3 linked regions of the Cricetulus griseus genome follow. The protein of the gene in region 2 purifies or fractionates together with the protein of the main gene of each other region. This does not show direct contact. Links are inferred from orthologs where the notes say so. Each region holds a gene or a part of one and is shown on either strand. Other genes may lie near its edges.

Region 1 (2,732 bases), on a different chromosome or scaffold from region 2:
CAGCCTTTGGTCCACTTAAAGTGGGGGCTTGGGGGCACTTCTGTCTCTAAAATAGCCCTGTGACTAGTTTTTTTAGCAAGCAGCTTTCCATTGGAATATGATCCTCTGCTGTCTATCCAACATCTTAAAATGTTCTTTCTAAGCTTTGGGAGGAAAGAACATTTGCTATACGAGTTGGGAAAGATACTTTTCCCACCCCAACTCCCACAGGCCCAGTCAAGATACAGTAGAAACATTGAAAGCATGAGGAGAAAATTGCTTTAAAAAAAAATATATAAAAGCCATTTATTATTTATAAGGCACCCAGACAGTCTAGAACTAAGTAAAGTAATTCTTTGTTTCTCATAACTCTTTTGACTTTCCTGATTTTGTTTTTCACAGGATCTGGTGAAAAGCCATTTGATGTATGCAGTAAGAGAAGAAGTGGAAGTTCTAAAGGAGCAAATAAAAGAATTAGTGGAAAGAAACTCTTTACTTGAACGAGAAAATGCACTGTTAAAATCTCTTTCAAACAATGATCAGTTGTCCCAACTCCCAGCCCAACAGGCCAATCCTGGTAGCACTTCTCAACAACAAGCAATGATAGCACAGCCTCCTCAGCCAACGCAACCTCCACAGCAGCCGAATGTTTCCTCAGCATAAAGCTTTCTTAAGCCTCATTAAGGAAAAACCGAAAGCAATCTTTCCTTGTGTGCCACTGGTGTTCTATCCACTTTATAGAAAGCAAGTAGCCATGCTTCGGCTGTGTGCTTGGCCTTTTCAGTATTAGACAATCGTTCTACAGGAGCTTTCCCTCTCTAAGATGTCATGCAGCACTGTTGATGTCCACTTCTATGTCATCAGTACATGAGGAGAATAATAGACGGGGTTTATTAAAGCAAGCAGAGTCTACATTCTACATGTGCGCATGAGTGGGATCTTTAAAATTTTTGGTGGCTCTTCCATGTTTCTTATCACCCATGGATTCACCTTGAGCCTTCCTGTCACATAAATAACAGTTCATCTAAAGAGCCACTTTTCTTTCAATATCAATAACATTTGCCTACGTAAGTTTTCATTTATTTTGTGTTTTATTTATTACAGGGCTGCTATTTTCATAATGTACATGAACAATGTCACAGAACTTTTTTAATTTTTTGAATAATTATAAGTATCAGTAAAGGAATTGAAAGACAGGATTACATTTAATAAATAAAACGTTTAGGCAATAATTGAACAAAAGAATCCTGGCACATTTCTAACACTAATGGCAATTTACCGTTGGTATTTATTTTCAATAGTAAAGATCCAGCTTGAATGTAAATTTTGTATAGTGTAAGTATGAAAAACACAGTGCACCTGTACAGGTAGTCACCAGTTATTGTGATATAATAAATAATTGGGCTATTTTCATGAAGAAAACTTTGTTCATTTGTTTCTACTTTCTAATAGAAATTGCCACGATTCCTCTGCTTTTCAACATTTCGTATGACTTTTTTTTTTTTTTTTTTTTTTTTTTGGGTGGGAATAAAAAAAGCTGTGAAATTGTTCAACCTACTTTGTAACCAAAGAAGCAAAGCTGTGTAATGGAGTTTTGTTTTGTTTTATAATGCACATTCTTTATGTATTTTTATTTAGTGTTTTCTTGGTCACAATTTTCTTTGCTGTCTAGCATGATCTGCATGGCCTGTAATCTTTGAACCACTTTCGTACCTCATGTTTTTATCCAGCACTCTTATTGTACTGTGTACTAGTCTGTGAACAATGTCAAATAAAAAGAACCAACAGGTCGTATGGTGGAGCTGAGCTAGTGTACAATGCACCAGTTGTACAAAAACAAAAATGAAGTGAGCCATCTTTTGTTCATTTAAAATGGTGTTTTGAATTTCATATGCAGAAAACGTTTTGTTACATTGCAAATTTTAATGTATTTAATAAATGCAACATGCAGATTAAGTGCAGTGTATACTGAGTATTTAAATTAAAATGTACATTTCATAAATACAGTTTCAAGAGAAAGCATCATTTTGTGTATACTAACACATTAAGTGTATGTCAGAAATTGATGTAAAAATATATATTTTAACACATTTTCTGAAATTAAACTACAGTTTTGTTCAAATATTTGGCTCTATATGTGTTCAGAATTTGACTAGATTTGTATTTTCACGGTTTAAAATAATTTCTTAAGTGAAAACCCATGATGTTATTAATGACAATGATAGTTCTTAAATTTTCAAAGTAAAATAATTTAAAGAACACAAGAATGGTGAGCAATATTTGTACTCAATATTCATATTATGTTAACAATATAAATAGGAAATCCTCGTCTACCAAAACTTTTACTTGAATTCAGAAAGGTGCCTGTAGAAATGAACATGTCCTGTATTGGTAGCCTACTAGCTCATTCAGTCTTATTGAGAAACAGTGGTTAACTCTCCATCTTAGAAGAGGTTAAATGTTCTTTATTTATTTGAATCATTCTAGCCTCAAACAAAAGTCAAAATTGAGACATACATGAGATTACCAAATATTTTATATTCTAGTTGTGCTATGGGAAATAATGCTCAGCAAAACTTTTATGTTAATTAGTAACATTAGAAATACTTAAAAGAACTAGATAAGTATATAGACTTGAGTATGTAATAACCCTAAGGATGCAGAGTGAGATTCTAGTAGAGCCACTGTGGGCAAGATAGGATGTGAAACTGCTGTTGGTATGTGAACCCGAAGATTCTCTTGGTGCCCTTCCA
Region 2 (3,649 bases):
ACTCTGGCGCAAAGAAGTGTAGGTTCTTCTGCTCTTCCCGGCAAGTCTTCACATGATTGTTGATAGTGTCAGGAGCCACTAGGAGTAGGAGACACCCACAGTCTGACCACCACCAAAGCATGATCTGACTCTTGAGAGAGGCTCCAAAAGCCATGTTTCTCCTGAAGTGTCCTTTCTAATACTCGATGGACACAAACCTACCACTCTCCCAGTGCTGAGCTATAGACTACATATGAACACCACCTATCTTCCCCCTTCTGCAGCCTATGGTCCCTAACTCAGGAACAACAAAGTCTACACTCTGTACAGACAGACACTGAGGCTTTAGGTTCATCAAGTAACACAGTCAAAGGAAAAACTTTCATTTGTGACTTGCTCATCTTTCCAATGCCCCAGATCTATCAAATCCATAGGCCATGAAAATGCTAGGTTTTATTTGATTCATCCGCCCTGCAATTAACATAAAAACACAGGCAGTCCTTCCTACTATAGGACAACTGGAGACCTCATGAACCTGGATAAGAAAGGCAAAGCAGCATTAATATACAACCAAGGAGCTAGCCTGTTCCTTACCCATCTGTGTTGATGGAAACTCAAAAAAATAATTCAATAGTGAACCAATACCCTGAAATCAGTTTCACCTTTAATCCACCAAAGCTTTAAACTCTTGTCTAAAACTTTATCCCTCAACATCAAACCTACCACAGGACTGAATGAGGAACCAGGGTCAGGCCCAAGCTGAACTCACTCTGATCGTAGCAATGACACAAGTCACAGAGAATCTAGGAGCACAGTATGATTTAGGGAGCCAGCCGGATGATGAAGGGGAATAGGACTAAGAGGAAGTATCCAGCCAAGCAGAATCCACAGGAAACAAGCAGGTTACAAAGGGGCAAGCAGGTGGAGGGCTGGCAGGGCAAAAGCTTAAGCAAGCATAATTAGGACAGGAAGCAGGGAACAGGCCTTGCTCCCACGACTGCATGCACTGGGCAGCCGCAGAGGGAGCAAAGGGAGCACAAACAGAGCCCCAAGTGGGGCAGAGGGAGCTCTCACCATTAGCAAAAATCCTATGAAAGACTGTTGGGAACAGAGCAGCCCGTAAGCGGGAGGGAGGAAAACAGAGAAAAGTTGTGAGCGATGGAGCAGCCAAGCCCCAGACAAATGGTAACAACACACAGACACGGCACACGGAAATGTCACTGCACACAAATACACAGCAAATGAAAGCACTCACAGCAGGCAGTCTGGAAACCTCTTTGGTAGGGTTTGGCCCAAAGGGCGCAAGTCAGACCTTATCTCCATCTCTTGCCCTTTCTCAGCCTCCTTTCAATTTCTCTGTATTAGTCCAAGTTTCTCTCCAAGAAGTATAAGACTGTATACCCTACCCCATCTCACTAATTGGTCTCTCCCTATAAATCACCTCTACTAAAAGCCTCTCTCTTATAACCAGCCCACACCTCAAAACTCACTGTTCTCCCTATGCCTTTGACCTTACCCCCATGGCTCCCAAATTCCCGAGGCTCCCCTGCCCAGAATCTCTCCCTCCCCTCACCAGAGCCAATCTTGATGAGTCCGTTGTGCTGGATGAAGATGGTGTCACAGGTCAGGTTCCCATGGATGATGGGAGGGTCACAGGAGTGCAGGTAGCTGTGGGGGCACTGGGCTGTTAGAGGGGCCACTAGGAAATTAAGGGCAGGGGGACCCCAAGGGTTAAGAGGAGCAAGGGCCAGGTCTCATCCTGGTCACCATAATGATAATCCCTGTACTCTGAATCTATTGAGCCAGGTGACTTAAATAGGATAAGCAGGAGGAGAATGAGGGAGGGTTACTCTAGTGGTTAGGACTTTAGGAGTACCCCATAAGAGGCGGGGCTAATCTTGTCAGCACATGACTCAAAGAAACTGGGGAGAGGCAGACTAGAAAAGCAGAGTAGTGCCTTGCAGTCTGTTTAAGAAAATAAATCAGGAGAGACTGGGGAAAAACTAACCAGATATTACTTACCTTAGGGCAGATAGGATCTGTGTGCACCAGCGTTTCCAAGCCTAGAAAAGAGTTTGGTCCAAGGATCAGCAGTAATATTCTCTCTCTCTCCTCCTTTCTTCTCCCCTCTCCACCACCCTCCTTCTCCAGGGTCTCACTATATCACCTTAGCTGTCCTGAAACTATGAAGATCACACTGGCCTCGAGCTCAAGAGACCTATCTGCCTCTGCCTCTGGAACCAAAGGCATGTGCCACCACACCTAGCAATACTTTGCTCTCTCAGCCTTCCCACTAATCCATCCCTCCCTAATTAGCTACATAATTACCTCCATCTTTTTAAATCCCTAAACCAGCCTAAAACTATGTCTAGCATCTCTGCATACCTTTTCATTCATAGTCTTGTGGTTCTTTTTGGTCTTCTTCAGAAACTGCTTAAGGCTTCCAGATGACATGTATTCTGTGATGAAAATCACCTAGGGAAACAAAGCACTTCCTGTTAAGGCTTTAATATAGACATTATCTCTCACTTGGTGACATTTACACCAGATACATAGTTAACTTTGTATACATGTGTTCAACTTTTCTTTATTATCACTTTCTTAGGCTTAACAGCATACTGAAAATACAGAAGCAAGCAAATGTTCACTCATTTCTCCCCATCTTTAGCTGGAAAATGCTAGAGATGGCAGATGAAGCCCTACTCTCCTTGTCACAGCTGTGTATTTCAGTTCTTGTCTCAAAATTACCTCATTTTAACCTCTGAATGTAAAATTGACAGTAAATGAAATTGCTTTCTAGCAAAGAGTTCAGGAAATACTAGGCAAAAAATCTTACCCGGGCTTTATTCTCTTTAACATCAGCCCAATACTTGTGAAACTTAACGATGTTAAGATGTTCCAATTGAATGAGATTATCAAACACTGCACGGACCTTTTCCTGGGGCAAGAGAGACAGAGACAAAAGTTCACAAATCACTGTAGTATATGAAAGCCATTCCCTACCCCTCCCCACAGATGATCTAACCATGAAGGCTCTCCTCACAGATGATCTAACCATGAAGGCTCTCCTCACAGTCACTTTCCCAACAACAACAGTTGTTTAAATACTGGTTCCAATGCCCCCAGGCCTCATTACCTACCTCCTGCAGTTTGTAGTTCTTGCGTTCAGAGAACTGTACCTCATTCCACACAACCTCCACACCTTCCTCTGTATCCATGGCCAGGTATGCACTGTCAATACCTGGTACATTACGCTGATTCACCTGAGAAGCAATTCAAATAGAATTAAGTCACCTCACCAACCGGCCATTCTAGTATTCCATATGAGCATCTTCCAACTCCACCCTACTCAAGTCTGGTCTGCTCCTTTGTACAGCTACTCTAGTTCTCACTGCTTACAACTTACTCTCCAAAGAATGCCATCACCATCACCTTACCTCTTCTCTCCTCTTCTGCCAGCGTCCACAGGGGGACTCTTCCAAGATCTCAGACTCATCTTCACTTTCTTCTTCCTCCTCGGGGGAAGCAGCTGAGGTTGTAGAGGTCACAGGAGGCGACACTGAAGTCAGGCCAGGAGCCGAAGAGGAGGATTCTACCTTTGGGTCTGAGCCACTGCTGACTACTGTTTGGGATTCCCCTTCCGACATGCTGGAATGAACGAACACTCAGC
Region 3 (4,365 bases), on a different chromosome or scaffold from region 2:
CTGCCATTTTGGGTAGCCGGGGGTTGTGCTATATTCTGTGGTGGAACTAAGTTTGGTGGGGCAGAAGGCATTCCAGCAGGACCAGCTGAACTAACCTGATTTGTAACAGAAACACTACTAGCAGAGGGCAAAGGACTACCTGCGGGCAACTGCTGGGAAACAACTCCTTGAACCACTGTTTCTACTCCCTGCGGCTGGGGAGGCACAGTTAACAAGGTACTCTGGGGTGCGATAACCAGTTGTTGAGGAAGGCTTGAAGCACTAGTTTGAACTCCCTGATGAATAATGCCAGCTGCAGCAGGTAGAACTACTTGTGAAGATGGAGGAGCACCTTGCTGGATAACTGAAGGTGTAACTTGGGTAGATGGCTGCTGGACTGCAGTAGGCATGTTTGCTTGTTGACCAATATTTGCAATTTGACTGCCAGCTGGTACAGCAGACACTGCTGTTTGAGCCTGGCCAATGGGCTGCCCAGATGCCCCTGCAGGTTGTGCTTGTACTGCTGTGGGCTGCACTGGCAGTTGGATCCCCTGTGGCTGAGCCACAGGAATCCCTGACGTTCCTGCTGCTGCTCCTGCAGAACTGGACTGTCCAGAGGACATCGCCACCTGAAGAATTGGCTGCTGCTGTACATACTCTGCAGTAGGATTTTGAGTCATTGACTGGCCATGGCCTGCAGCTATCTGTGTAGAAACCACTGGTTGCTGCTGCCCATACTGTAACTGTTGGGGTGGTGCCCCTGGAAGAGGAGTTTGCACTGGAGGACTTGTCTGAGAATACGGCAGTTGGGGTTGAGCCAAACTGGAAATGGAAGGCTGTTGACCTACAGCTGACGTTACACCAACCACATTGACGGAGGCAGGCTGGATACCGGCGGCTGCACTCATAGTGGCTTGCAGAGGTACAGGCTGAAGACCTGGCTTCTGCTGAAAGCTCAACTCTTGAGGCTGTAATTGTACTTGTGACATCTGTGACTGAGAAATACTCTGTGGTATACTAACTGCTGCAATACTCTGTGGACCAGGGCTACTGAAATCTATCTGCTGGAGGGCCACACCTTGAAGACCTGGTGGTGGTGGTGGTGGTGGCTGCGGCTGCTGCTGCACCACCACAGCAGGGGCTCCCATCTCTCCGCTTCCCACACTCTCTGTGTAGTGACTCAGTGTGCTGACACTACTGCTCACTGAACTCCCGCTGGTGCTCTCCCTCTCCGAAGACACTTCCGTGGGGGTTTGTTTCACAGTCTCCACCACTTTATTAATCGCCAAGCCTTCTGTAGCCGGCAGGGCATTTTCTTTTTCATAGAACTCAGTGCAAGTCCATCTACCTTTTTTAAAGGGCTCAGAGGTAGAGTCTAACTTCACAACTCTGAACCTTGACGTGTTAACTGTCGGTTGCTGTTGCTGCTGCTGACTTGAAACCACTCCCACAGTGATACCTGCAGCTGCATTAAGGACACTGTTAGCAACAGGAGAGGAAGACACAGTACCATTGCCCATGCCACTCAAGACATTCACATTAACAGCACTGGCAACTCCAGGCCCAACACTTACACTAGCAGCATTAGGAATATTGCTTGTACTTATATTAGCATTGCCATGCACGCTGCTCGTCACATTAGGACTGAAACTACCCACAGCAGCAATGTTAACATTACTCGTTGCATTTGTGCCAGCAGTAACCGAATTTATACCTATGCTGCCTGTAGTACTTGGAGCCCGGATGTTAGTCATCACAGATGCGGGCAAGCCACTCGATGATACAGCAGAAGTAGGTGCAACTGGCACACCACCATCAGAACTTCCAGTGGTACAGAGTTTTCTGGACACTGGGCTCGAGGGTGGCCCTCCAGGGATGGACGAACTGGCCACAGCAGCATGGGATGAATGGTGGTGTCCATGGTGAAGGTGGTGCCCATGATGAATGTGATGGTGGTGATGGAGGTGGTGTGGATGAGCATTCCCATTGATCACAACGTTTTGTTGTGGGAGGTGAGGCAAATGAGACTGAGGAAGGTGGGGCTGGTTAGGAGAGACTGCCCCGGGTGTCTCAGCTTCCTGGAAGTTATTCAGAGTCTCTTCTGAGGAGCTGCGTTCAGGCTCACCCAAGTCAGTGGCCCTGGAAAGTGACACATCAAGGATCTCGGAAGAAGATAGGTCTTCTGTGTGAGACTCATCCAGATCGTCATAGCTCTCCGTGTCCTCTGCGATGCTGTTGTTAGAGCTGATGCTGGCAGAGATCTGGGCCGGAGTAACGCTAGTTATCTGGAAGCCACTTTTCTTTTTCATCTGAGTTCCGCCCGGCGCAAGAGGCTGTCCCTGCAGCTGAGCCTGCGAGAGGAGGTTCAGGCTTTGTGGAGGCGGAGGCTGTGGTCCCTGCGAGGAAGATGCAGCAGGAGGCGGCGGCTGGAGCAGCGAAGGAGGAGGAAAATCCTCAGAAGATGGAGCAGCACTACTGACGCCGGTACCTGCTGCATTGAGAGCAGAGGCGCTGCCACCACCGCTGCCCCTTCGAGGGAACACTGCCGGGTGCGCCATCTTCCTAGCACTAATGTCTGCAGCGGCGGCCGCCGCGGCAGCGGAGTCCGGCGGCTGGTGCATTGTGCTGGGTACCGGGGGGCGGAGGAGGCGAGTGCAATTTCCTTCTGCACCGTAATCTTTGTATGGAGAAGCCGGAGAGGAGAACAGGACCTGAAGCTCCGCCCGACGCGATTCCTCCTCCCTCTCCTCCTCCTTCTCCTCTTCTGCCGAAGGCGCCGGCTGCTCCTGCCTTGAGGGCTAGCTTCGGGAAGGGAGGATGAACCGGGTGAACCAGGTGGCTGGGGAACTGAAGGGGGACCCCTTCAGTCCTTCGCCATTCACTTTCCCCTCCACTCACACACCCCCCTTTATATTCCGCTTCACGTGGGGTGCGGGGCGGGAGGGAGGGGAGCCCAGGAGGGGGCGGGGGAGGCGAGGAGAAGCGAGAAATGCCCACCTTCTTTGGCCAACTCCGGAGCCAGCTCAGCCCCCTCCTCCCGCGGCGGCGGCCACTGCAAAGCCCCGCCGCTCGCCCTGCACCGAGGCAGCGCGGAGCGAGCGGTCGCCCGGCCCTCGCCACCCCCGGCGCCGCGGCCGCCGGCGAGCCCCGAGCTCAGCGTCGCTCCAACCTCCCCTGCCGGCGCGGCCGGCCCCGCTCGGGCCTCCCCCGCGGCCCGCGGCCCCTCTCAAACCCCCTGGGCTCGCGACGGCTGCTCCGGGAGGAAAGACTGGCCGCGGCTGGGACCCGGGCGGCGCGGCGGCGAGCGGGAGGCGGCGACGGCGACGGCGGCGGAGGGGCCCCGGTACGGTGAGCCCAGCAACGCGCGCGCGGGCGGCGCGCAGAGACGCCGGGTCCTCGCGGAGCGCGGCCGGGGCGCGGCGGCGGCAGTGGTGGCGGCGGCAGCGGGAGCCCAGGGACCGCTCCATCACTGGCAGCCATGGAGCCCGAGCATTTTCCTCCCTCGGGGTAGGCGCTCGGCTCCGGCACACGTCCTCAGGGAGGAAGAGGGCGCCGGCGCCCGGGCTGCTCCGGCGGGCGGCGGGACGTGCGCGGGAGCGGAGGGGCGAGCTCGCGTCCTCTTCTCAGCCCGCCGGCTGCCTCGGCACCGTGCTGCTCCCGCGGCCGGGAGGGAGGGAGGGACGGAGAGGGGGAGGTAGGGAGGGGGGCCGCGGGCGACGGCGACGGCGGCGGCGCGGCGGTGGCGGTGGCTCCTTTCGCGGTGGTGGTAGCGGCGGCGGCGGCGGCGGCCAGACGGGGCTGGTGCAGCGACTGCAGCCGACGCCGTTCAAAGAAATGAGAGGTGGGGTTGGTCGGTGGCGGCGCGGGGCGGGGGAGTGGGAGGGCGTCGGGCGAGGAGGGGGCTGCGGTGGTTGTTACTAGTGCTCTTCTCGGGCTGCTCGGTAGCCCCTGGTCTCTCGCGGCATCAAGAGAGGAGGGACCAGCGCCCCAACGCGAAAGGAGGAGGGTCGAGCGCCGACCGAGTTGAAGAAGGAGGAGGAGGAGGAGGAGGAGGAGAAGGAGGAGGAGGAGGAGGAGAAGGCGGCGGGGGGAGGGGTCGCGGAGGAGAGGAGGGAAGATGGCGTCTGCGCGTGCGCGCCGCGCGGCGCTGCAGACATAAAGCCGGGTCTGACTAGGGGAGGCGGCGGCCTGTCTTCGGGCTGCGCCGAGCTCTCGGCGCTGTCTCTACGGAAATTGCCGAAGGCCGGCGGAGCGGCCGACGCCTGAGGGCGGTGGGGGGTGGGGCACTTGGGCGCGCGAGCGAGCGAGCGAGCGAATCCGGGTCGCGTGGAGAGTCTGGGGTGGGGCGTGGGGCCCACGCGGCGCGCGCGCGCGCGCAGGTTAGGC

What was found.
Region 1: the proteins of Nrbp1 (region 2) and Tsc22d2 purify together in Homo sapiens (affinity purification with mass spectrometry; 5 studies listed by BioGRID and IntAct, with this or other methods). This does not show direct contact. The link is inferred for Cricetulus griseus from reciprocal best matches to the Homo sapiens genes NRBP1 and TSC22D2.
Region 3: the proteins of Nrbp1 (region 2) and TSC22 domain family protein 1 purify together in Homo sapiens (affinity purification with mass spectrometry; 6 studies listed by BioGRID and IntAct, with this or other methods). This does not show direct contact. The link is inferred for Cricetulus griseus from reciprocal best matches to the Homo sapiens genes NRBP1 and TSC22D1.

Annotation. Positions count from the first base shown.
Region 1 is NW_023276806.1:93,081,206-93,083,937, reverse strand, and holds the end of Tsc22d2 (TSC22 domain family protein 2), read left to right. Parts: intron 1-381; coding exon 382-642; 3' UTR 643-2,101; downstream 2,102-2,732. UniProt on the Homo sapiens protein: Reduces the level of nuclear PKM isoform M2 which results in repression of cyclin CCND1 transcription and reduced cell growth.
Region 2 is NC_048600.1:13,143,854-13,147,502, forward strand, and holds part of Nrbp1 (nuclear receptor-binding protein), read right to left. Parts: 5' UTR 3,627-3,649; coding exon 3,417-3,626; intron 3,243-3,416; coding exon 3,120-3,242; intron 2,918-3,119; coding exon 2,816-2,917; intron 2,455-2,815; coding exon 2,365-2,454; intron 2,043-2,364; coding exon 2,002-2,042; intron 1,648-2,001; coding exon 1,553-1,647; intron 79-1,552; coding exon 1-78. UniProt on the Homo sapiens protein: Required for embryonic development. Plays a role in intestinal epithelial cell fate and proliferation, thereby involved in the architectural development of the intestine potentially via the regulation of Wnt-responsive genes.
Region 3 is NW_023276807.1:230,793,927-230,798,291, reverse strand, and holds the start of TSC22 domain family protein 1, read right to left. Parts: upstream 2,827-4,365; 5' UTR 2,601-2,826; coding exon 1-2,600. UniProt on the Homo sapiens protein: Transcriptional repressor. Acts on the C-type natriuretic peptide (CNP) promoter. Acts to promote CASP3-mediated apoptosis.